Rhinolophus ferrumequinum: one gene and its partner. The protein of the gene in region 1 interacts with the protein of each later gene in a pairwise test. Links are inferred from orthologs where the notes say so. Each region holds a gene or a part of one and is shown on either strand. Other genes may lie near its edges. The genes, in order: GCC1 and CEP57.

Evidence for each region.
Region 2: the proteins of GCC1 (region 1) and CEP57 interact in binary tests that used the Homo sapiens proteins (3 or more experiments, as listed by UniProt). The two-hybrid records come from large-scale screens. The link is inferred for Rhinolophus ferrumequinum from reciprocal best matches to the Homo sapiens genes GCC1 and CEP57.

Annotation. Positions count from the first base shown.
Region 1 is NC_046309.1:18,180,020-18,190,983, forward strand, and holds GCC1 (GRIP and coiled-coil domain-containing protein 1), read left to right. Parts: upstream 1-5,375; 5' UTR 5,376-5,764; coding exon 5,765-6,796; intron 6,797-7,660; coding exon 7,661-8,956; 3' UTR 8,957-10,483; downstream 10,484-10,964. Other genes in the region: ARF5 (ADP-ribosylation factor 5), read right to left, coding at 148-234, 345-470, 1,007-1,078, 1,540-1,649, 1,978-2,058, 2,574-2,640. UniProt on the Homo sapiens protein: Probably involved in maintaining Golgi structure.
Region 2 is NC_046294.1:66,443,849-66,455,381, forward strand, and holds the start of CEP57 (centrosomal protein of 57 kDa), read left to right. Parts: upstream 1-7,134; 5' UTR 7,135-7,339; coding exon 7,340-7,384; exon of another isoform or gene 7,385-7,416; intron 7,417-11,533. Other genes in the region: protein FAM76B, read right to left, coding at 926-1,125, 2,825-2,980, 4,183-4,237, 5,108-5,172, 6,000-6,086. UniProt on the Homo sapiens protein: Centrosomal protein which may be required for microtubule attachment to centrosomes. May act by forming ring-like structures around microtubules. Mediates nuclear translocation and mitogenic activity of the internalized growth factor FGF2, but that of FGF1.

The DNA of each region.
Region 1 (10,964 bases):
CATGCAGGCAGGAGGGGCAGGAGCAGAGACCTGTGTCTGTGGGAGGAGGAGCAGGAGGGAGGAGCACTGCCTGAGGAGTCCGGGAGTCTGGGCATCCCGGGGATGCACGCGGGAGCTTCCGGGCAGCAGGGGCTGGCCCCTGCTTGCTTAGCGCTTTGACAGCTCATGGGACAGCCAGTCCAGCCCATCATACAGGCCTGTGCCTTGGGTGGCACAGGTGGCCTGGACGTACCACTGTGGGGCGAAAGAAAGAAAGAGGTCAGTAGCAGGGAACAAAAAGGGAGGGGGGTGCCTTTACTTCCTGCCCCAGCCTGTGGCTCCCTTGGGAGAGGCGAGACCCTCACCGTACGGCTTCGCAAGTGCTGCAGGCCCAGCTTGTCGGTCAGCTCGCTCACTGGCATGGCGTTGGGCATGTCCTGCTTGTTGGCAAACACCAGCAGCACCGCATCCCGCAGCTCGTCCTCCTGCAGCTGAGAGAGGCCAAGGGAGTAGAATCTGGGGTCCTTTGGGGTCTCCAGACTCCCTCTTTCCCACTGTGTAGGGGAGCCCCCTTTTCCCACCTTCTAGCATATTTGTGGGAAAAATATAACATCGTGTAGTCGCCCGCTGAACACAGGACATAGTTATAAGTCAGCTGGAGACCATTTTGGCGTTAAGTCCAGAAAGGACCTTTTTCTAATTTGTTCTAGTACTTGTTCTAGTCAAAATGACAAAATTTCCCAATGGAAAAACAAGAAGGTACGATGATGTTTATCTCCACCGCATATAACTTCCCTCTCCCCAACTTCTCAGACTCAGATGTGAAGACATGAGAATTCAAGGAAAAAGTCAATCCTATACTTTTTACCTGACCCAAACTCAAAACAGGGTGAGATTCTCCATGTACCTGTGTCCACCAAGAGCACTGTACATTCAAGGCCCATGAGGCATTTCCTGACATTCACACCAGCACAGCGACCTCTGTTTCCAAGCTAAGGGCTCAGTTCCCAGGGCCCTGGGTGCTCACCATTTTCTGGAGTTCATCAGCAGATTCCTGGACCCGCTCTCGGTCATTACTGTCCACCACGAAGATGAGGCCCTGGGTGGGAAGGAAGGAAGGAGGAGCAATCACTCCCACCTGGGACATACCCGAGTCTGGCTTTCTCTCTTTAATTGTGTCTAAACCCTTCTCATCTAGTAAACTTCCACTAAGGCTCTGCAGACATCCTGGCACAAAGTGGTGACACCCTGCAAAGGATACATACAGCTTCTGCCCTCAGACAAGCAGTCTAGATAGAAGACATGCATGGGAACAGGGAGACATGTGATGAGAGCTAACTCAGCCTGGACCCAGAACCCTGCTTCTCAGAAGATGCCAAAGGTGGCTGAGTCTCAGAAGACGAAGGCCAGTTCTGAAGGATGAGTAGAGGCTTACCTTACAAAAGGGGGGTTAGGGAGGGGTAAGGCTTTTTCCTGGCCCAGGGGCCCAGCCTAGGCCAACAATTTTCCTAATGCTATCACCTCCTCCCCTGGGGTTGGGGAGACACCCTCGCCCCCCACCTGAGTGTTCTGGAAGTAGTGCCGCCACAGAGGTCGAATCTTGTCCTGGCCTCCCACGTCCCAGACTGTGAAACAGATGTTCTTGTATTCCACTGTTTCCACATTGAAGCCTGAAGATAATTGGAAAAAAATATGAGGAAAAAGTCGTGATTGGAAGGAACTCACTAAACTACAGTGCATTCAGCAGGGACACAAATCAGAAGGCAATGATCAAGGTCTAAGGGAAGAGAAGTCCAGAAGACTGGCAGTCAACTGGCAGGGCGGGGCTAGGTCACATCCACCCCTCCTCACACCATCCAGCAGGTAAAGATAATGTGACCCACTTCTCAGGTAGCTGTATCTGGTGTCAGGTCCCAGCACGGAGACGCAGAATGAGGAGGAGACCCTGAGCTGGCCGCCACGCTCCAGCTCCTCCCAATCTCACCTCCTCTGACTCACCTATGGTGGGGATGGTGGTGACAATCTCCCCCAACTTCAATTTGTACAGGATTGTGGTCTTGCCAGCTGCATCCAAGCCAACTGCAAAGAAGAGGGGCATAGGGATGGAGATGGGAGCGAGGGAGCCCCCTAGAGACCAGGGAAGGGGAGAGGCCAGGACAGCTGACGGTGACAGGGGCGGAGAGCCCGAGAGCTTCCAGGTGCGCGCTGTTATCTACCTTCCGGGCCTTAAGGGCAGTCCGGGTGATGAGCGCCAACTGCTGCCCCTGAAGCGGGCGAGGACTGGGGGTGTAAGGGGTACAGGAGGAGGACCGCGCTCCTTTTAAAAGTGGCCTCCAAGGGCGGAATCCTCCCTTCTTACCATCCGGGCTGGGGCGGAGGGAGCGTCACCCCACCCAGGCCCGCAGCTCCCGGTTTCAGGCCCCGGGAGCGGCGCTGCAGACTGTGACCCGCCCGAGAGCAGTGGCCCCAGGGGTTTAGAAGGTGGGTGACTCAGAGTCAGAAAGCGGGGTGAGCTGGCCTGGAGGGACGCGGGGGCGGGAGGGCTGCGCGGGGGCCGGCGCTCCCGTCCGGGCCGCGCGCTTGATCTGCCTCACCCATAAGGATCCGCATCTGCTTCTTCCCGAAGATCCGCGAAAAGAGCGCGGACACGGTGAGGCCCATGGCGGGGCCCGGGGAGGGGGCACGGACACGGACACCGGGTGCAGGCTGGAACCGGCCGGCCGCGGGGGGATGGGGCGCAGCAGCAGTGGGAGGTGCCGCCACCGCCTCCGCGCGTCGCGGCCCGCCCTACGTCACGGCGGGCCCGCCCCCATCGCGCTCCGCTCCTAGCTCCGCCCCCCGCCCCGCCCCGCGCCTCGGGCTCCGGGAGAAGCCGAAGCTGAGCGAATCTCCGCAGCCTGGCTGGGTCCCGCGCCGGTTTTAAAGAGGGAAAGGGCCAGGGTCTCCCCGTTTCTAGCACGCCTGGCACATCTGTGGCTGTTGAACCGGCAGTCAGAGGGGGGCGGAGGAAAGCCTTCAGTGCTCCGCAGCGGCCCCCACCCCCATGTTCCGTGGCCCGCCGCAGGGCTTTGGTTTGTTGCGTCCAGCTCACTCTGGTCTCCGGTTTAGTTCTTTCTAACTGGCAGCCTCGACTGTGTGCACCACCCTCTTAGAGGTGCGTAAGCTCCGTGCAGTCGTCTTAAGACCTCCCTTTTGCCCCCGCAGCTCCCAGTGAGGGAGGGGCTTGGAGCACAGTAGGTGGTTCAGGAACCGTAGACTCGCCCGGGTGTGCAAGGAAGCAAAGCTTTTCAGTCTGGACCCAGACAGCCTTTCTGAAGTCCTTCCTCTCTTTGCCACAGACCTGGCAGCCTGCATTATTAATGCACACCTATCCAGGATGTGAGGATGTGGTTGCCTCCTTAGGCCCGAAGAGCTTCTCCAGTAATTTCCCCATTCATCTTAGCGTTGGAGGGGAAAGAGCCAGATTGGAATTCATTTAAGTATCTTCTATGGCAAAAACTGGATCATGCCAGGCTTATGCTTAACAAATGCTTGTTAGGTTGAACTGGACTGGTAGGTTGCTCAGTGGAGCGTGGACAGGTGTTTTGCCTGTTCTGGAGCCAAGTTGCTTATGGACTGGACATGGTGAGGTGAGCTGGGAAGCAGAGAACCTTCATTCACTCAGTCAACAAATATTGAATGCCTACTGTATGCCATTGTTCCAGGCCTCCGTTCAAATCTCAGTTCTGCCTTTTTTTGAAGGCTTGCCTTCAACAATCCTCTCAAGCTGTCATTTTCTTATCTATAAAAAGAGACTGATATTTGTCCTATCTCATGAGGTTATGGTAAAGATTAAAATGATGAGATACTGTATCTGAATGTTTTGTATAAAACAGCTGGATGTTTCCTGGGCCACTAAGAAACTGGGTCTGAACAGAGCTCCAGGGCCTGCCCCATCCAGACCTGCAAGTCTGTAAAGAGAACAGACTTTGGGCATCAGGTATGAGTGCATGACTTTACTCTTCAATCACACTTGCATTCCTAGGATGACTTTTACAAGGTCGAAGAATACATTTAAAAGAGTCCCAATATAATAACACAACTAGCGATGAACAAGTCAGGTCAGTTCTACATCTTCAGCTCTTTTATTAGCCTCTTTCTTTCTATCACTGTTGTCACCGCCATATTTCAGTACCATCTCTTCTCCATGACTGCAACAGTCTCCTCACAGTTCTCCTGCCCCTTGCTATTGCCACCCTGGCATACAAGTCTTGATGACACCACTCTTGTGATTAAAATCCTTTAGTGTCTTCTTATCACCAAAGATAAAATCTAATGCCTTAATTTGGATCCCTACCTCCTAGGCCAGCCCCGTCTGTTGCCACCTCCTTCACATACCCTAAACTACTGCCTCGAGATGCTTCTCAATGCTTTCCAGGTGAGCCAGCCTCCCTGATGCCACAGGAGTCCTCGTAATCTTTTCCCTCTGCCTGGAATGCTTGTTTCCCTGATCTCTAGTTAGATGGGTAGTCACTACTCATCCTTCACATCCCAAAGTATTTTCTCTGAGAGCCTTCTCTGCCTCCCCTAGACAGGACTTCCTCCACATCACTTTGAATATACTTATGCATACCGGTACGATGGCAGGACTTGTGTTTGCATGCCTGGTTCTTCACTAGATGGGAACTCCGTGAGGGCAGGACCTTGTCTCATCATAGTGATCACCTGGCACAGCATTTGGTATGTTGAGAGTTGGATTGATCTGGATAGCATCCCTAAACTTAGCTGTGCGACCTTGGGCATGTTACTTACGTCTCTGTGCTTCATGTTTCCATATCTGTAAAACAGTGCTGACAATACCCACTGAGCAGAATTATTGTAATGACTACATACCAAAACTCTTGCAAAGCTCCTGGAATATAGTTGGCACTAAAGACCGACGTCCTGGCCATACGGATGCCCTTTACAAACATTTGTTGCATTAACTCAGCAGAACTCAGGAAGGGTGCTAATAATTATTATACTATACGCCTTCCAGGTGCCAAACACTGTACTAGCAAGGGTTGCAGTGTTCGTGGTTTGAATGAGAGTCTTAATTGTTGCTCTTTAGGGACAAAGGTACTGAGCTCCCAAATAGTGGAGACACGTCGCGAGCTGTTCAGTAAGGACTCAGTGCGACGTCGCCCCCTGTCCCTCGCTGATCGTAGCCTGAAGGCAAGCTCGGGTGAACCTCACGAAATCAACATCACTCGCGTCCTTAGCTTGGCTTGTGCTGCTCTTCCCGGGGAGAGAAAGCCTCGCCAGGTTCCCCACAGGCCGCGGCCGAGCACTCCCCGGCTGGGGTGGCCCCGCGCTCCTCTGGCCACTGGGGCGGAGCCTGCGGCGTCTTGCTGTCGTCACTTCCAGCGGACCCGGAAGCGCCCTTGTCGGGCCGCTGTAGTTCGGAAGTCGCGAAGGGGCTGCGCTCCGCTTAAACCCCTGGCGGACAGTGGGCCGAGGTCCCGCAGGGGCTGCTGTGGCCGGCGCGGGCGGGAGCGCGGGGCAGCTTCTGGGACAGGGCGGGGGCGCCCTGGCTGTGTGCTCCCCTCTTGCCCGCGTCACCCCGCCTCTAGGTGGGAACCGCCCCCGCCTTCCGTACCCCGGACCCGGTGGCGCTTCTGCCCGCTGCCCCGCCTCCCCGCGTCGGTCTCGGACAACTGGGAGGAGCGGGTGTGCGGCCGCGGGGACCACAACGCCCGCCAGCGTCCCCGCGACCGTCTCCCGGGCTGCCCCAACGCTGACGTGGAACCACCCGTTCTGAATCCTCATGGAGAAGTTTGGAATGAATTTCGGGGGTGGCCCCAGCAAAAAGGACCTGCTGGAGACCATTGAGACGCAGAAGAAGCAGCTCTTCCAGTACCAGGCACGTCTCAAGGATGTGGTTCGCGCCTATAAAAGCTTACTGAAAGAGAAAGAGGCGCTAGAGGCCAGCATCAAGGTGCTGTCAGTATCCCAAGAGGCGGATGTGGGCCTGGCAGATGGCCCGCCTCCAGGCCTCACCTGTCCTGACAACGTGGATGACCGATGCTCCACTCACAGCGAGGATAGCACTGGGACCGCCACTAGCTTGGATACTGTCGCCAGTCTCACTAGCACCAAGGGTGAGTTTGGGGTAGAAGATGACCGACTGGCCCGTGGACCACCACCTCCAAAGTCGGAAGAGGCCAGCGGGTCGGAGAGTGGTGTTAGCAGTAGCAGTGGGGATGGACCGTCTGCAGGTGGGGAGGTGGACAAACGATTGCACCAGCTGAAGACTCAGTTGGCTACTTTGACCAGCGCTTTGGCTACAGTCACCCAGGAGAAGTCCCGCATGGAAGCTTCTTACCTGGCTGACAAGAAGAAGATGAAACAGGACTTAGAGGATGCCAGTAAAAAGGCAGAGGAAGAGAGGGGCCGTCTGGAGGGAGAATTGAAGGGGCTGCAGGAGCAGATAGCGGAAACCAAAGCCCGACTTATCACACAGCAGCACGATCGGGCCCAGGAGCAGAGTGACCATGCCTTGATGCTGCGTGAGCTTCAGAAACTGCTGCAGGAGGAGAGGACCCAGCGCCAAGACTTGGAGCTTCGGTTGGAAGAGACCCGAGAAGCCCTGGCAGGGCGGGCATACGCAGCTGGTCAGATGGAAGGGTTTGAACTGCAGACCCGACAGCTGACCCGTGAGGTGGAGGAGCTCAAAGGTCAGCTGCAGGCTCTCCAGGATGAGAAGAATCAGCCAGACCCCCGGCTGCAGCAGCTGCAGGAAGAAGCTGCCTGCCTTAAGAGCCATTTCCAGGCTCAGTTGCAGCAGGAAATGAGGAAGGTAATTATCTCCATCTCCTTCAAAAAGTCATTTAAACCTGAAATGGGAAATATTTGTTTTTCCGCCTTTGATAGATCTCAGTGGCTGCACTGTCAATTTTTGATGCAAAATGTTTTATTGGTGAGTTGGAAATTCTGTTCTATGTGGTGTTGACAGTATCCACAGAGCATGTTTCCAACAGGATGTAGAGTTTCTAAGTGTAGGCTGGGTTGGAGCCAGACAGATCTAGCATTGGCATCTTACCCGCTGTGCTCTGCGAAGCAGTACTGTGGCAGACATGCAGTGAAAAGGTCGTGTGTCTGACTGGAGCTGTATGCCTATGTGTAGGTAGTGGTATATGCCTATAGGAAGGATGGCTGAAGGGGGAAAAGGGAGTTTTCTCAGAGGAAATGACCTTTTGTAACGGCTTTCAGCCAAGATTTTGCCAACTCTGGAAAGGTATTCTATTTTTATAGTGCCTCCATTCAGTGTGGAGAGAGGTCCAACTCAGTTTTGATCTTCCAGGAATATTGGAAGAGATGATTCCATAATAAGATTTGGGGAAACACATGATAAATGAAGAAAGCACTCTTTATACGTGAGTTTGGTGTATGATAGGAGACAATGGAAGTACGAAACCAGAATAGGAGCAGGTATGCAGAGGTTCTTAATTGTTTGGTATAACATGTGTCTGTGAGCAGAACGCAAGCAAGTTACAGGAACTTTTGTTAGCTCCCAGATCAACCAAAAAATCCCCAGTTCCCGTTCTTGCCAGGCCATCCCCATTCTGTGACTCTTTGGCTGTCCTCTCTGGTGCTCTCAAAGTTTGCCATAGCGCTTTGTGGCGTTTCTGGATGCATTTCCATCTGTTTCCTTGTTTTACAGGCAGCCCTCGCAGAGGATCAACGACGTCAGCAATCTCAGCTGGAAGAGCAGAGGGTGGCAGCCCTGGAGAACCAAATATCTGAGGTGTCGGAACTGCTGGGCACATATGAGAAAGCCAAGCAGAAGGACCAGCTGGCCATCCAGAAGCTGAAGGAGCGCATCATGCAGCTGGACCTGGAGAACAAGACGCTGGCTCTCGCAGCCTCCAGCCGGTCCCCTCTAGACAGCCATGGAGAGGAGTCCAGTCTGGACGTCAATGTCCTGAAGGACAAGATGGAGAAGCTGAAGAGGCTACTGCAGGTGGCGACCAGGAAAAGCCAGGTGACCTTGGATGTGGAGAAGCTCTGCGACCTGGAGATAATGCCCAGCTCTGAGGCCGCTGACGGGGAGAAGGCTACCGTGCTCTACTACCAACAGGAGCTGAAACAGCTGAAGGAAGAGTTTGAGAGGTACAAGGTGAGGGCCCAGGTCGTCCTCAAGAGCAAGAACAGCAAAGACGGCAACCTGGCCAAGGAGCTGGAGGAAGCCCAGGAACAGCTTGCAGAGCTCAAGGAGAAGTATATTTCCCTGCGTCTGTCCTGCGAGGAGCTTGAGCGCCAACACCAGCAGGAGGCCGAGGACTGGAAGCAGGAGCTGGCCCGGCTACAGCATCACCACCGGCAGGAGCTGGAGCGGAGCCAGCTGGAATTCAGGGACCGCACGCTGAAACTGGAGGAGGAACTGCACAGGCAGCGCGACCGGGCGCTGGCCGTGCTGGCCGAGAAGGACCTGGAGCTGGAGCAACTGCGCTCCGTGGCCTTGTCCTCCGGGCTGCCGGGACGCAGAAGCCCTGTGGGTGGCGGAGGTCCTGGGGACCCGGCCGAGGTCACTTCCTCGGAGAGCCTGACCCAAGCCCTGCAACTAGCTGCGGCCAACGAGCCTACTTTCTTCCTGTACGCTGAGCAGTTGGCCCGCAAGGAGGTGGAGATCACGTTGCTGAGGAAACAGAAACACAGGCTGGAGGTCGAGGTCCGTCAGCTGCAGGAGCGGCTGCTGGAGGAGGGCGAGCGGCATCGTGAGGAGGTCGGGGTCCTGCAGAGCCACATTGAAAAGAACTTCAGGGACCAGAGCCGGGAGGGAGCCAACCTCGAGTACCTCAAAAACATCATCTACCGCTTCCTGACCTTGCCCGACAGCCTGGGCCGCCAGCAGACACTCACAGCCATCCTGACTATCTTGCATTTCAGTCCCGAGGAGAAACAAGTGATCATGCGGCTCCCCCCCAGTGGGAGCTGGTGGCCTTCTGGCAAGAGATGATGCCGTTTTCACTGCCTGGAAATTTCTGTGCCTCTTCTGTGGGAAGGGACAGGTTCTGGTTTCTACTGCCCCTTCTCTTAATCTTTTCTTTCTTCACTGTGTTGAACTGGGAGGAGTCTTCAACGTAGGGTGGGATTTTCTGCCAAATGCCATTAACTCCGCTTTACCCCTTGGGCCCTAGAGACACTGGAAGAGTTGGGACAACATCTTCTGGTGGTGTGTGTGTGAGGGGGAGAGGCAGGAAGAGGTTGGGATTGAGAGGTGCAAAAGTTGGGGAAGTGGTGAAAATCTTTAAAAATAAGACTTCTCTGTTTTAATATTATGCTCCTAGTGCAGAGCTAGGAGTAAATGTGACTCCAAAGGGAGTTCAGTTAATTTCTAAACACACACAAGGACCAGCTGTTTTCTCCATCAGCACAATCTGAGTCTGGTCCACTGCTGCCCCAATTCTCTGGGGATACACATCCAGGCTGAAGAGGGACCAGGAAGTTTGAAATAGTGACAGCTTGCCCACTAGTCCAAAGGGCCAAGGAATAGGGAGTTCATCCTGGAGCTGGGAAGCTTGGTTTAGTTAGGGCTGGGCACGACTTAACCAGTCTGGACAAAATGCTCCACTTGTGACCATTGTAGAGAGAGCCCTGAGCACCAGTTCGATCTTAGGGATTTCCTGAGTGACCTGCTTTTCGTCTGGATAGAGTTACCATAGACCCTTCCTGCTTGTCCCTGCCTTAACCTGCCCGCCTGAGGTTGGCCTGAGATTGTGCGGGAATGACTTTGCTATCTTCAGTGTGGAACTTCCATTGCAAAAAAAATTCTAGCTTCTTACAGAGCGGAGTCTGGTCAGGAAGCTGTGGTCCTGCCTGGATGCAAGGAATTAGTGCAGAGATATACAGGGCAGAGGAGGAAGACCTACTGCAGAGGATTCCAGAAGATTGCTGTGAGTGAGCCTCATAGGAAAAGTGGCGGAAGTTCAGCCAAGGCTGGGCCAGGGTGCTTGCTGCTCCGTGGACAGCATTCTGGCTAAATGTCCACGTCCCTGCAGCCAGGGTATTCATGGATTACAGTTACCAGAGTATATTGCCCACTCCCTTGAGGAGGTAATTGAGTTTCAGCCCACAGTCCTCATCTTCCCCACTCGTGTTCCTATAACTTTTCCTCCTCCCACAGAGTTTCTTCCATTTGGTGTTGCGTAAGTAGATTCATTCTGCCCTTACGGAAAGGAGGACACAGACTTCTAAGTCAGGTTCAAACAGTATCTGTGCGTTCCTTGCCCCCATCTGCTCTTGCTGGTCTTTGGATCTTAAAGACCAATGCTTTGCCACTCACTGAACAAATACATTTTTTTCCTGTTATTTCATCATAGAGATCTGGTTTGTGAGGGTTTGGGATGCAGAAAACTTTTGATTAAATGTTCTGATTGGGAGGCTGGGCAACCTGGACTATCTACAAACAGTGAGTGGAATTAATGGAACAGAATTGATGTGCTCAAATGATAATAACATAAACCGTGGAATCATTAAACCTGAACAACTTGACCTGTGTGCTTTTGAATGGTACACACACACACACACACATACACACACACTCAATGTGAATATAAATGGTAAGTTCAAAGGATGGAAATAATATATTAATCCATGAGCTTGAATCTAGGGAGGAATGCCTCAATGCTTAAACAGTCTCAATTACAACACAAATTTTTTAGCCTACAGTTATGTGTGTATGTGTATGTTTGTGTGTAGGCAGCTACACTGGAAAAAGATGTCTCATGGATTTAGTGAGTGGGCTTGAAACTTCCATAATTACTTCTAAAACTTTAGAAGTAATCTTTTTATGAATGCTTTGCTCTGCTTCCAATCCGGATTCATGGTATCCTAGAAAAGTTTCTCAGTACATCATTAACATAAACTAAATCATCATCTCTTTATTTTCTTACCTGATCCCCTTACATATAAGATATGTTCTTGTTGTTCTGGGTGGTTTTGGACAGAATACAAAGATCCCTAAT
Region 2 (11,533 bases), on another chromosome or scaffold:
AGACAAAACCATTATATTCTTAAAAAAACTGCTGTGTTCCTAACTGTGGTAGACATCACTGTTTTGTAAATAAAATTATGTTTTACCTATCTAGAACTTTAAAGACTTATAGAGAAATTTGGGAAAAAACAGTGAGTTCTGAAAATCAGTATGTACCACGTTCCTGTGTTCTCCATTTTAGTTTGTGTTTTAATAGTCTTGATTTTGCCCTGAAGACTAAAACCACACTTAAAAATCTTTATACTATACACATAAAGGGTTAAGATATTACTAATATATAACTCCGCCACAAGTCACTTTAAAAAAACAAGTAGTTGTTTATATTTGAAGAGTTCCTGCCTATGTGTTTAAAATAAATAAAAATAAACAAAAAAAACAGCAAAGCACCACTAGTTAAAAAGATTATGTCTCACACTTTGAGAACCTTCAAGATTTAGAATGTTTCTATCACAGTCACAAATGATAGTGTTACAATCTGTTCTCAAAGATACTGAATGTATGTACATTTCCTAGTCACTGGTCTAATTTTAACTGAAGTAAATAAATGATACCTGAGGTAAATGTAATTTTTACAAGTAAAATCCTAGCAATTATTTAAACAAAAAAATGAGGTTTTTGATAATGGAAATCAATAAAGTATTTAATTAACTCTGATGTACTTATACTTTTACTTCATGATGTAATTTTATATTATAATTCCCTAAATGTCCTATCTTTATTATTATGGTATACAGCTAAATGCACTCCATGTGTGTAATTGTATACACTGAATAAAGTGGGGAAAAGCCCTCGACACCCTCGAAGCTGATCATGTACAATGGAAATTAGACTAGCACTCGCTAGGATTTACGAAACAGTTAAACCCCAATATATGGCATTAAAATGCCTGGGAGGATTTTAGAAAACATGATTTCAGAGTACTTACTTGTGATGACTACTGCTGTGACGATGGTGATGGTGATGGTGGTGGTGGTGATGTTTTGAATGATGCTGGTCTTTCTCAGTAAGAGATGAAGAAGATGAATTTGAATGTGAAGATCCGAGGCTCTTCCTTTGTTCTTTTGTCTTCTGTAAAACTCTCTTATATGACAAAGTACAGAGCCAGCATAGTAACTTTCCATCAACCTTTTAAAAGAAAATATTTGTATTAGATTAAATGTACCTGTAAACTGGCCATAGGTGAAACCAGGTAAGAGAAGTGCTTCTAGCTATATTTCTCTATCTCAAACACATACACAGTTGAAAAGTTGAAGTAAAACTAGACTTTTCTGAAACTTGGGAAAATGCTTGTTTGGAGGATCATAAAATTGATGAGGATGGTATGTGGACTTCCATTAGTTTTGAGGCATTTTTTAATTTGGAGAAACTTGTTTTATTATTTGGAGAATAAGCATAAATTGATATAGTTCAAAGAAATCTATGGAATCACTAGACTGAATTCTTAAATCACTGTGTAATTATTAAAATGACGGAGTATTTTCCACTACAGTAAAAACAGTTACTTTATAGAAAAAAGGAGAGCTCGGATGACATCTACAGTCAATTCTCATTATTTGCAGATTTCTCATTTCTAAATTCATCACCTACTTGCTAAAATTTATCTGTAACCCCCAAATCAACTTGCAGTGCTTTCGTGATCATTCATGCATATGTACAGAGCAGCAAAAAATTTGTGTAGCCAAATGGCAAACCCTCCCCGCTCAGGTCAAACAAGGTGATGCTCTGCTGCCCTCTTCCTTTATCTCTCATACCTTAAACAAATCCTCGTCATCTATTTAGTGCCATGTTTTTTGCATTTTTGTGCTTATCAGTGATTTCACTGTTTAAAATGGTCTCCAGGTGGATCGAAGTGATGTATATAGTGTTCCAAAGCACAAGAAGGCTGTGATGTACTTTATGTAGAAAATATGTGATAGATAAGCTTCCTTCAGGCATAGTTATACTGCTGTTTGCATTACAACTGTTAATCTATCAACGATATATATTAAGTAAGGTGTCTTTAAACAGAAACACACACAAAACAAGATGTATTAATCACCCTGTTGTGACCAAGTGGCACGAACCTAATCCTGTATTGCCCTTAGGAAGTATTCACTAATTCAGTATTTGCAGCAACTTTACAGAACATAACTACTACAAACGACGAGACTCAATTGTACATGTCACGGGGATAGAAAATGAAACTTCTTCACTAATTTCTATCTTCTAATTGTTCATACAAGTGCCGGGGGGACATTTCTTACAACTAGGATACATATGTTGCTGTGGGGGGATCTAGGGGAGCCCCTCAAAGAGAGTCATCCTGCAAATCAACTGAAACTGAGAGACAACAGGAGGTGAATGCTGATCAGCAGAGGAATACCACACGCATACACATTCTTTTTAAGTCATTGCAGGTAGAGGAAAACAAACAATGGTTTAAAATATGAGCCCCAAATCAAAAGGCACAAGAGTAACTTTGAATCATGTTAATGAGCTATAATTTTTTCACATCACCAACCTCAAGTAACCAGCAAAAGGGTAAGTAGCTGCAAGCATTTAAAAGTTAGCAATTCTCCCAAACCAACTGTTGGATAACCAAGTAGTACAGAATAGCCATCACAGAATGTTTTTTAAAATACAGTGATCTCAAATGATCAACATGAATCTATGTATGATGCAAACAAGGAGAAAATGCACTGTTCCTGCACTTTCATCTAACTACCAGCTTTCAGGGACCCAAAGAATACATCAAGTCTCAATAGTATATTAATTACGGTAACTTCCAATTTGTTTGCTGTTTTATTTCATTTCCAGAATATGCCATAACATAAATAAAGCATACCTTCCTTCTCCCTTCCTCCTTCCTATCAAAAGCGCATTGTTGCTTGCACTGTTCACAAGTCTGAGGTGGTCCATATTTTTTTTCTGAATTTGTACATCGCTGACACTTTGTACCAATAAACGCTGCAATTATGTTACAGTATTGACAAGGCTTAGGCTGAAAAACAAACACATGTTTTCTTTAACAGAGACATTTGAAAATATTAAAAATCTGCTATACAAAGTAGACTTCTGGGTTAATTAAGGAAATGAACAGGTAACAAAATTTGTGTCAAATCAAATCAGTAAGTCCTCACTTAAGGTCCTCAACAGGTTCTGCGACTAAACAAAACAACACGTAATGAAACCAATTTTACTGTAGGGTAACAAGAGGTAAGCTCCTATGACATCTCATCGTACGACATCGCATCAGTGTCATAACAAGAAACATTTGAGGACCTGCTGTATGTTGCCATAATCGATAAAATTTATCGTGTTTCTATTCGCTTAGTAAAATTTATCCTAGTCGTGAAACTTTTTGTTTCTGTATTGAATAGTTAAAAAAGGTCATGAGTAACATTTATGATTCACGTAGTATGTTATATAATGAAAAAGCTACATGTGAAAAGGGTCTTAAAAAATAAAAATAAAGGTATGCATTGATAGGAAATTTTCACATATGCAGTTATTTGGGGGAACAAACCTCTACTAACATGACATCCTACTTAGTTAACATCATTTATTCAAAAAACGTTTAACAACTTTTATCACATACAGGTACAGATGATACAAGGAATATATACTTTAGGTGAATTTTCAACTTTAAAAAATTGGCATAAGCACATTCAACATAAACTATAATAAACATACCTTGATTTTCTTTGACATTCAAAAGACAATTCAGGATTTCCTAGAGCCTTAAGGCCAGTACTTTGACTAAACATGACTGTAATACACCAGTAATGACTATAATACATATGTAAGAAAAGAATTTATACTAGAATAATGTCATGACTTTTGTGAATAAATGCCTGAATTGTGCTGCTATATAAAAATTATTGGAGTTTCTGAAGGGAGAAAAGTATGATTATGCAAATTTTATGGGTAAGGTGCTTCTCCATAACCAGTAGTTTGCTATATTTGAATCTTTACAGAATAAAATCACAAATTTTACACTTTCAATATGTATAAAACAGGCTCATGACTGTTTTTAAATGTTGTCATCTTCTCATCAGACTATCTACAGAAAATTTCTTTCCTGAAATATTTTGATATGTTGAAGTATTTAAGAACACAGCTATACATATTTTTTAAAGGTTCATCTTTGTGAAAATTATTAATTGACCAATAACAATACATGAAAACATATGACATACTTACAGTGCCAAACTGCTTCACATTTTGAGCACACTTCTTACAAATTGTATTAGTTTTGCTGAAAAGGAAATGATATATAGGTGATCAAATTTATGTGGCTTTCTCAAGTAATCAGAAAAACGCTCAACTAAAGCAGAGTACTATTTGCTTTAGTAGTATTTAAAACTTACTCTAATATAAACCAAAGATTTTTTAAAACTACAAACATAGGATCCTTTTAGGGTTGTTATGTTATTCAAATTTATTCCTCTTCCATTAAGATAAATGTTTCTATACATTTTTGTTGTATATTTTTTGGTAAACAAAAGAATCCTAATGTTTTCTATCTTGTTCCAAAACCTTCACACTTGCCACTACTTACGCACAGCATTACGTATCAGTGCTTACCTAACCTTGCACTGAGCCTTCTCCAGTAGACATCATAGTACTGCTATGGTGCCTACACCAACTTATGAAGAAATTGTTTTTCTCTTAGGCTACTCTCACGTATGTGCTCTAATTCTCTAACAGGAATCATCCTATTAAAAAAAAGTATGTGCTGTTCTTCCACTGGTAACAAGTTACGAGTAACCTTTCCTCAGGTCTATGTCAGCATTAATGTGCCTTTTTTTTTTTTTTTTACTTTAATGTGCTTAATAGTACCTACTTATGTCTGAAATGTCTGAATTTTTCATTAGCAAGGCTATACACTTTCCACACAATAATTTCTTCTTTTCTCATGTGCAAACTGAAGCCTAGGTCGAAAACAACCATTAATTTCTTTGTCAACTTTCTCTCTCCTATGTCTAAAAGGTTTACACCATAAAATTTAAGACGCTAAACCATTAAAAAACACACACTTTAATACAAGTATGGAGTTACAACCCCCAAGTATTCCCTACAGATAATACTTTGTCTTTAACAATCAAAAACTGTTCAGTATACAAACCTCTCTTGTTGAAATTCAGATCTGCAGTAAGTACATTTTACAATAGGATGCGCAATCCGACATTCCTGTAATAAGACAATGAATTAGTCAGTATCTATCTCAAAGTCCCAAATTTCACTTTTCTGGTAGAAAATTGTTACCTAACCTAGTCAAATGTCTAAAACATTAATAAAATCTGCCCCCCCAACGTAAACAATTGGGTGATTTATCATATAAGTGGCCAATTACAGCGTAATTCCGTAGAGGAGGCATAGGTGTCTTTGTCTTTATTACATGGGGGAGGATATGCTACAGATAAATTAAGAAAGCTGTCAAGGCCGATTTCAAGGATTGGTTAAATGTGAAACTACTTATTATTTTGCACCGTTGCTCCCAGACAGCATCCCGGCTTTAATGGGATGGGAGGAGCTCCAAATCATAGAGCATTCTGTTCCCAAGCCAGTCGCTTCGCTTTCCTGGGCAGGAAAGAAGGATGCCATCAGCTTTGCTGCTTCAGGTTCCTAGCAAGAAAGTGCAAAAACCGTCCCCTGCCTCCCGGTGGAAGGAGAGGACAGACCAGGCAAAAAACCCAGATGAAAACATCTCCACCCCAGGGTCTCTGCGGCATAGACAGGTGGCTGCCTCACTCAGCCCCACCCCTGAGACCCCCGAATGTTGCTGGGGCCCGGCCCACTCCTGGGCCTCCAGGAAGAGGGCAGGATTCTGTCTTCTCTCAGGGGCCTTTCCCAGCTGATGCCCAGGTCATCCAATAAAGGGATCCCCCGGTGAGGGGGCGAGGGCTCCAAACCCCCGGCGCCGGCAAAGAGAGCGAGACTGCAGTGCAGCGGGCACCCAGCTCCCTCAGGCTATGGCCGAGGAAACCCCGCCCGCCCGCCGCCCAGCGCCCACGGACCTTGCAGAGCTGCTGTCCCTGGGAGAGCTCCTCGAAGGGATAGCGCTGGGTACATTTGGTGCAGGCGTACAGGGCCGAGGCCGCCATCCTGCTCCTCAGTCTCCTCCTCCACCGCCGCCCGCTCCGAGGCGGGGCCCTACGGAGAACTCGGGCGCCGCCGCCGCCGCCGCCGCCGCCGCCCGGGCCGCGGGCTCCTCCTCCTCCCCCTCCCCCTGCCGCGCGCCCACCAGGGCCTTGCCGCGAGAGCCCAAGGCCCTGTGGACGCCGCCGTCTCCCTCCGCCTCCACTTCCGCCCCAGCCCACCCAGTGACGCCGTCCCAGCCGCTCCCGCTTAGGCCCCGATAGCGGCGGAGGGAGACGAAGCGGGTAGTTCGCTGCAGTTCAGCTGCGCGGCAGCGGATCCGCTTCCTTCTCGGCCTCCCCCATTCCTGATTAGCTGGGGAGGTTACGCGTCACTCGGACGCTCCTCCCAACCCCTAACCCCGGCGACGCAGGGAGCTCCCACAAAGGGAGGAAGTCGCCGGCCAATAACAGCCCGCCGCTCTCAGCGCGCGAAAGCCGCTTTAAACTCGCCCCGCCCAAAGGTCTGGGTCACGGCTATTTCTAGTAGCCGGTGTCAGGTCTGCGTGAGCGTTTCCCAATCCAATTGGGTTAAGTGTTCGCGAAGACTTACTCTCTGCCTCAACTGCTTTTTCACTTGATTTGTATTGGACCAAATCATTCAGCCCCCCTTCCTCCCCCATTCTACCTGCTACAGATCAAAAGGTAGGTACTTCACCTGGAGAGGCGTCCCCGAGTCAAGCTCACGCTCTCTTTGGCGTTTGGTCCCAGGGAACTGATCCAGGGAGTGTTTGAATTTCGCATTCGCTTTAATTCTACGTCAACCATTCGATTCAATTACCCCTAGAGACCAAAACAACCCCTCGCCCACGTTTCCGCCCGCAGAACACCCGCCCCTCCGTAGAGTGTCCTCTAAGCTGTCTAGTAGCCCCCAGCGTTACCAGCCTCCGCGATCGCGGCTACGCGCTACCTTGTGACGTCACCGAGGGACAAGACGGATTCGCTCCTACTACCGGAAGACGTCCGCTTTCTTGATTGGCTATTCAGAACGTCCATTAGGACGTGTCGCCCTGTCCGTGTACGCTCTGAGCGGGGCGGGAGGCAGGGCGTCCCTGCGTGGGAGTGTGGCGGGGGTTTCTAGACCTTGCACCAGCATCGCAGCCCCTTCCATCAGGGGCTCGGCTAAGGGTCGCCCCTGGTGGGCGGCTGTCGAATCTGGAAGAAGAGCACGAGAACCCAGACCGCCCGGGGCTGCGGAGGTGTGCTGGGCAAGAAGGAAGATGGCGGCAGCGTCGGTGTCTGCGACTTCAGGTTCTCAGTTCTTGGTAAGAAGCGGTTGACATTCGAATAGGCCCAGGTGGGTCCTGGCGCCTCTCTGCGTTTTCTCACCCTTCAGAGCGCTCTCAGCGCAGCGTCTCATCCCATCCTGGGAAACGGCGGGGGGCGCCTAGAGCGCCCCGTGCTGCCCTGGCGTCCACTGCTCCTCTGTGGAGGTTGCAGCCTTCTGTTGAAACAGGCCTGGCCCATCTTTCACTCACATATCCCTTGCACCTTTCGGCCTAGCAGCCCCTGTTACCGAACATTGCCAGGACCCGCTGGGATGACTGTACCCACACCCTGAGTAGCGAAAACATTGCTCCTTTGGTCACGTGGGTGTAACGGCCCTTCTTGGAATCTCGCCGAGACCAGGTTGGAGCGCTGGTCGGCTTCGTTGGCAGCTGTTGAATAGTTTGCAGTCTCCAGTGCATATTAGTCCTGCTTAAGCTGATTATTGTGCCTCCTCCCACCCTGCCATTAACGTTGTTCTGTGCTTACTCTACCCAGAGCGCTTGCTTCCCACCTCCCACCTTAGTTAGGACTGCAACATGTAAATACCCTTTTAGGGAAGCAGGGGGCAGCAGATCTTAATTGGTTTTGCCTCCAAAAAGGGTCACTAACCAGGTAAGTCACTAATATTTGTCGAATTGGAATGTCGAACACTTAGCGTTTTGGTTACCGCAGCACTGGGAATACTGTAGATTGGCAGTAAATGTGAGGAAGCCCGACTTTGGAGCCCTTATCTCTTGATTAGTAAATGTTAAGTGCCTGGCATGCTTTTAAGGCTCCAAGATTACACAGATGAATAGGATGGAGTCCCTGCTTGAAAGGGCAACGCATTGACGGGAAACTACACGCAATTATATTTTTACACAGTACAGGTTGATAAATGCTACCATACTGGAATAACCTAGGCGAGAGTGATTAGCAGTGCTTGGGTATGCTAGGGACGGTTTCCTAGAAGGGAAGATGGAGCTAGCTGGATGGTGAAGGAATTGTAAATGCTTGTTACAAGAACAGAAAAGGAAAGAACACCGCAGGCATATGGCGTATGTGCCAAGACAGTAGGTAAACTTGAAAAAATTTGGGAGGAGTAGAGGTAGTATGGGAGTGGGGTTGTATTAGATGAATTGTAAAAGTAGGTAAAAGATGGGAGAAAAGGATAGTGAAAGAAGAAGCAGGAGGCTATCAGGGTAAGTTATATCATAGAAGCTAATGGGGCAGTTTAGGGAACATTAAGAGAGAGCAGAGTCACCTTGATAAAGATACACTTTTCTTCAGTTTCAGTTTTTGGTGGCTATTATGAGGATTTGTGATAATAGGCTAGAAATAACCTTCAGGGTTTCAGCAGAAAGGGGGTAACACGTTTGCAGAGAAGTCAGGAAAGGTTGAGAAAGTATGAAGCACATGGAGTTCAATCAGGAAATAGACTGGTAAAAGTAGATAAAAGAGGAACCATTAGACTGTTAGGAGCAAGTGTCATAAGTAGATGAGATTATATAAGTCTTGATTAATTCAACTTAATTGGGAGAAGAGGGCTTTTCACTGCCCTCAAAATGTAGCACTGGGAGACTGATCAAGGAATTCTCTTATACAGGCATACGTCAGAGATATTGCTGGTTTGGTTCCAGACCATGGCAATGAAGCAAGTAGTAACCTTTTTGCTGGGGGAGGGTCTTGCTTTCAGTTTGCGAAAAATAACGCAGCATCGATGAAGTGCAATAAAGTGAAGCACAAGAAAATGAGGTATGCCTGTAAATGTTGAATTGTACTGCACTCTGCTGAGACTATCGAGCTGAGCAGTGGTACTGAGATGTGGTCAGTCCTTACGCAGTCTTTAAGGTAACCTGGTCAGAAATCCTACAATGGGTGTAATAGGAAAGCATACATATTTTTATATATTAAACTCAGCTTTAAGTGGATTCTAAATGTCAAGAATACATTAAGATTATCTAGGACCCTTTACAAATGAAAGCATAACTAACCTTCTTAATTAACTTGACCTGCTACATCAAAATATCTAATTTGTAAGTCACTATGTCTCAAAACAAAAATGACTAAATTTAGTTTATCAGTGTATAAGAAATAGCCCTGCTTAGACACTGTCTTGTGAGAAACAAGGCTGGCATTTCCAACAGAATTTACAAAGCACTTTGGCTTAATAAACAGATGACCATAAAATATAACACAAAGAGCTTTTAAAACTACAACATGAACTCAGAAGGGTATTCATATTCAGATTTTAAGGTTGTGAACATTAACATTTCATACTTACTCAACTTTAATAAGTCCAGCATGGAGCTAGCTATAGTAAATAGAGATACTTTTACCAGGCAAGGATTTTTTAACAGGTAGATTCAAAGTAACAGACTTCAGAGAGCAGCTACCATATAAACGTCAATTATGAACAACATGGAAATAGGCGATACATTTGAATTGTGCTTTTAAGTAGTCTTTCACTGCAAGAGTAGCAACAGTGGGTAACAGTGACATTTGTTGAGTGATCGGTATGTAGCAACTGATTAGTGGAGAGTAGCAGGAAAACAAAGATTGGGCATAAAGATATTAAACAGAAGTACAGGCAGCATAGTCTAGCAAACAGAAGAATGTCTTTTCTGTCAGTCCTTTTTTATTTTCCTAGTAACCATGATCAACACCTGGGACTCTTTGGACTTAATAAGCTAATCTTCTAATTGGTCTCCCTGGCTTTTTAGCCAAGCCCTTTAATCAACCTGTTCTTTATTTCTCTTTAAAATGTTTTATGAATATTTCATAGAGTTTATAACATTAAACCATTGAACATATAAAAATTTATTTTTAATAATACAATGACTTACTTTCATGCCCCTGTTTGCACCTTGCTTTCACACACACCACCATACATTTTGAGATTATAATAATGCATAATATTAATACTTATTAGTACTACCTGGCAGTCATTTTAAATACTTATCATATATTGACTCATTTAATCCTCAATAATTTTATGAGGTTGGCATTAGCATTTCCATATTTGAATGAGCAAAATGAGGCACAGAAAGGTTAAGTCAAAGCTGCTTTTTTTTTTTTTTTTTTTTAAGATTTTTTATTGGGGAAAGGGAACAGGACTTTTTTGGGGAACAGTGTACTTCCAGGACTTTTTTTTCCCCCAAGTCAAGTTGTTGTCCTTTCAATCTTAGTTGTGGAGGGTGCCGTTCAGCTTCAAGTTGTTGTCCTTTCAGTCTTAGTTGTGGAGGGCGCAGTTCAGCTCCAGGTCCAGTTGCCAGTTGCTAGTTTCAGGGGGCACAGCCCACCATCCCTTCTGGGACTCGAGGGATCGAACCGGCAACCTTGTGGTTGAGAGGATGTGCTCCAACCAACTGATCCATCCGGGTGTTCAGCGACAGCTCAGCTCAAGGTGCCGTGTTCAATCTTAGTTGCAGGGGGTGCTGCCCACCATCCCTTGCGGGACTCGAGGAATTGAACTGACAACCTTGTGGTTGAGAGCCTACTGGCCCATGTGGGAATCGAACCGGCAGCCTTCGGAGTTAGGAACATGGAGCTCCAACTGCCTGAGCCATCGGGTCGGCCCCAAAGTTACTTTTATATTTCTGTTACCCATGAATGAATGTCCAGCCTATAGAAAAGTTTTATAAGAGTTTATTTGAGCCAAAATTTTGAGGACATGTCTGGAAGCAAAATCTCAATGGATTGAGATCGTGCTCCAGAGAATGGCAGTTTTGCAGCTTATCCCGTACACTAGAATCAAAGGAGATGTAAGGACGGTTACATGAAATCCATTGGTTGTAGATTAAGGAGGTGGGAGGCAGCAAAGCAGGGAAATCTCTAGGATTGAATAAAAAACAAAATAGAGAAATATACTTTTACATTGGTAGATACAGGATAAAAATTAACATTTACAGTACATAGAGATGGTTTGCTGGGAACAAGGTAATGCGGGGTTCTGTGGTCTTATGATCTGGTCGTCTTGTGCTGTGGTGCCTCTTCCTGTGCCTTGAGGGGTCGAGGAAAAAAATTACTCTGACATTTCAAAGGTGTATTATCCTAGATGCATAAGAACAGTGGACAGAATTCACTTAAGATAATGATTGACCTTTGCTAAGGAAGCTGTAGTCCTGCGATGTGATTGTCGGCCAAAGCCTGCCCTGTTAGGAGTT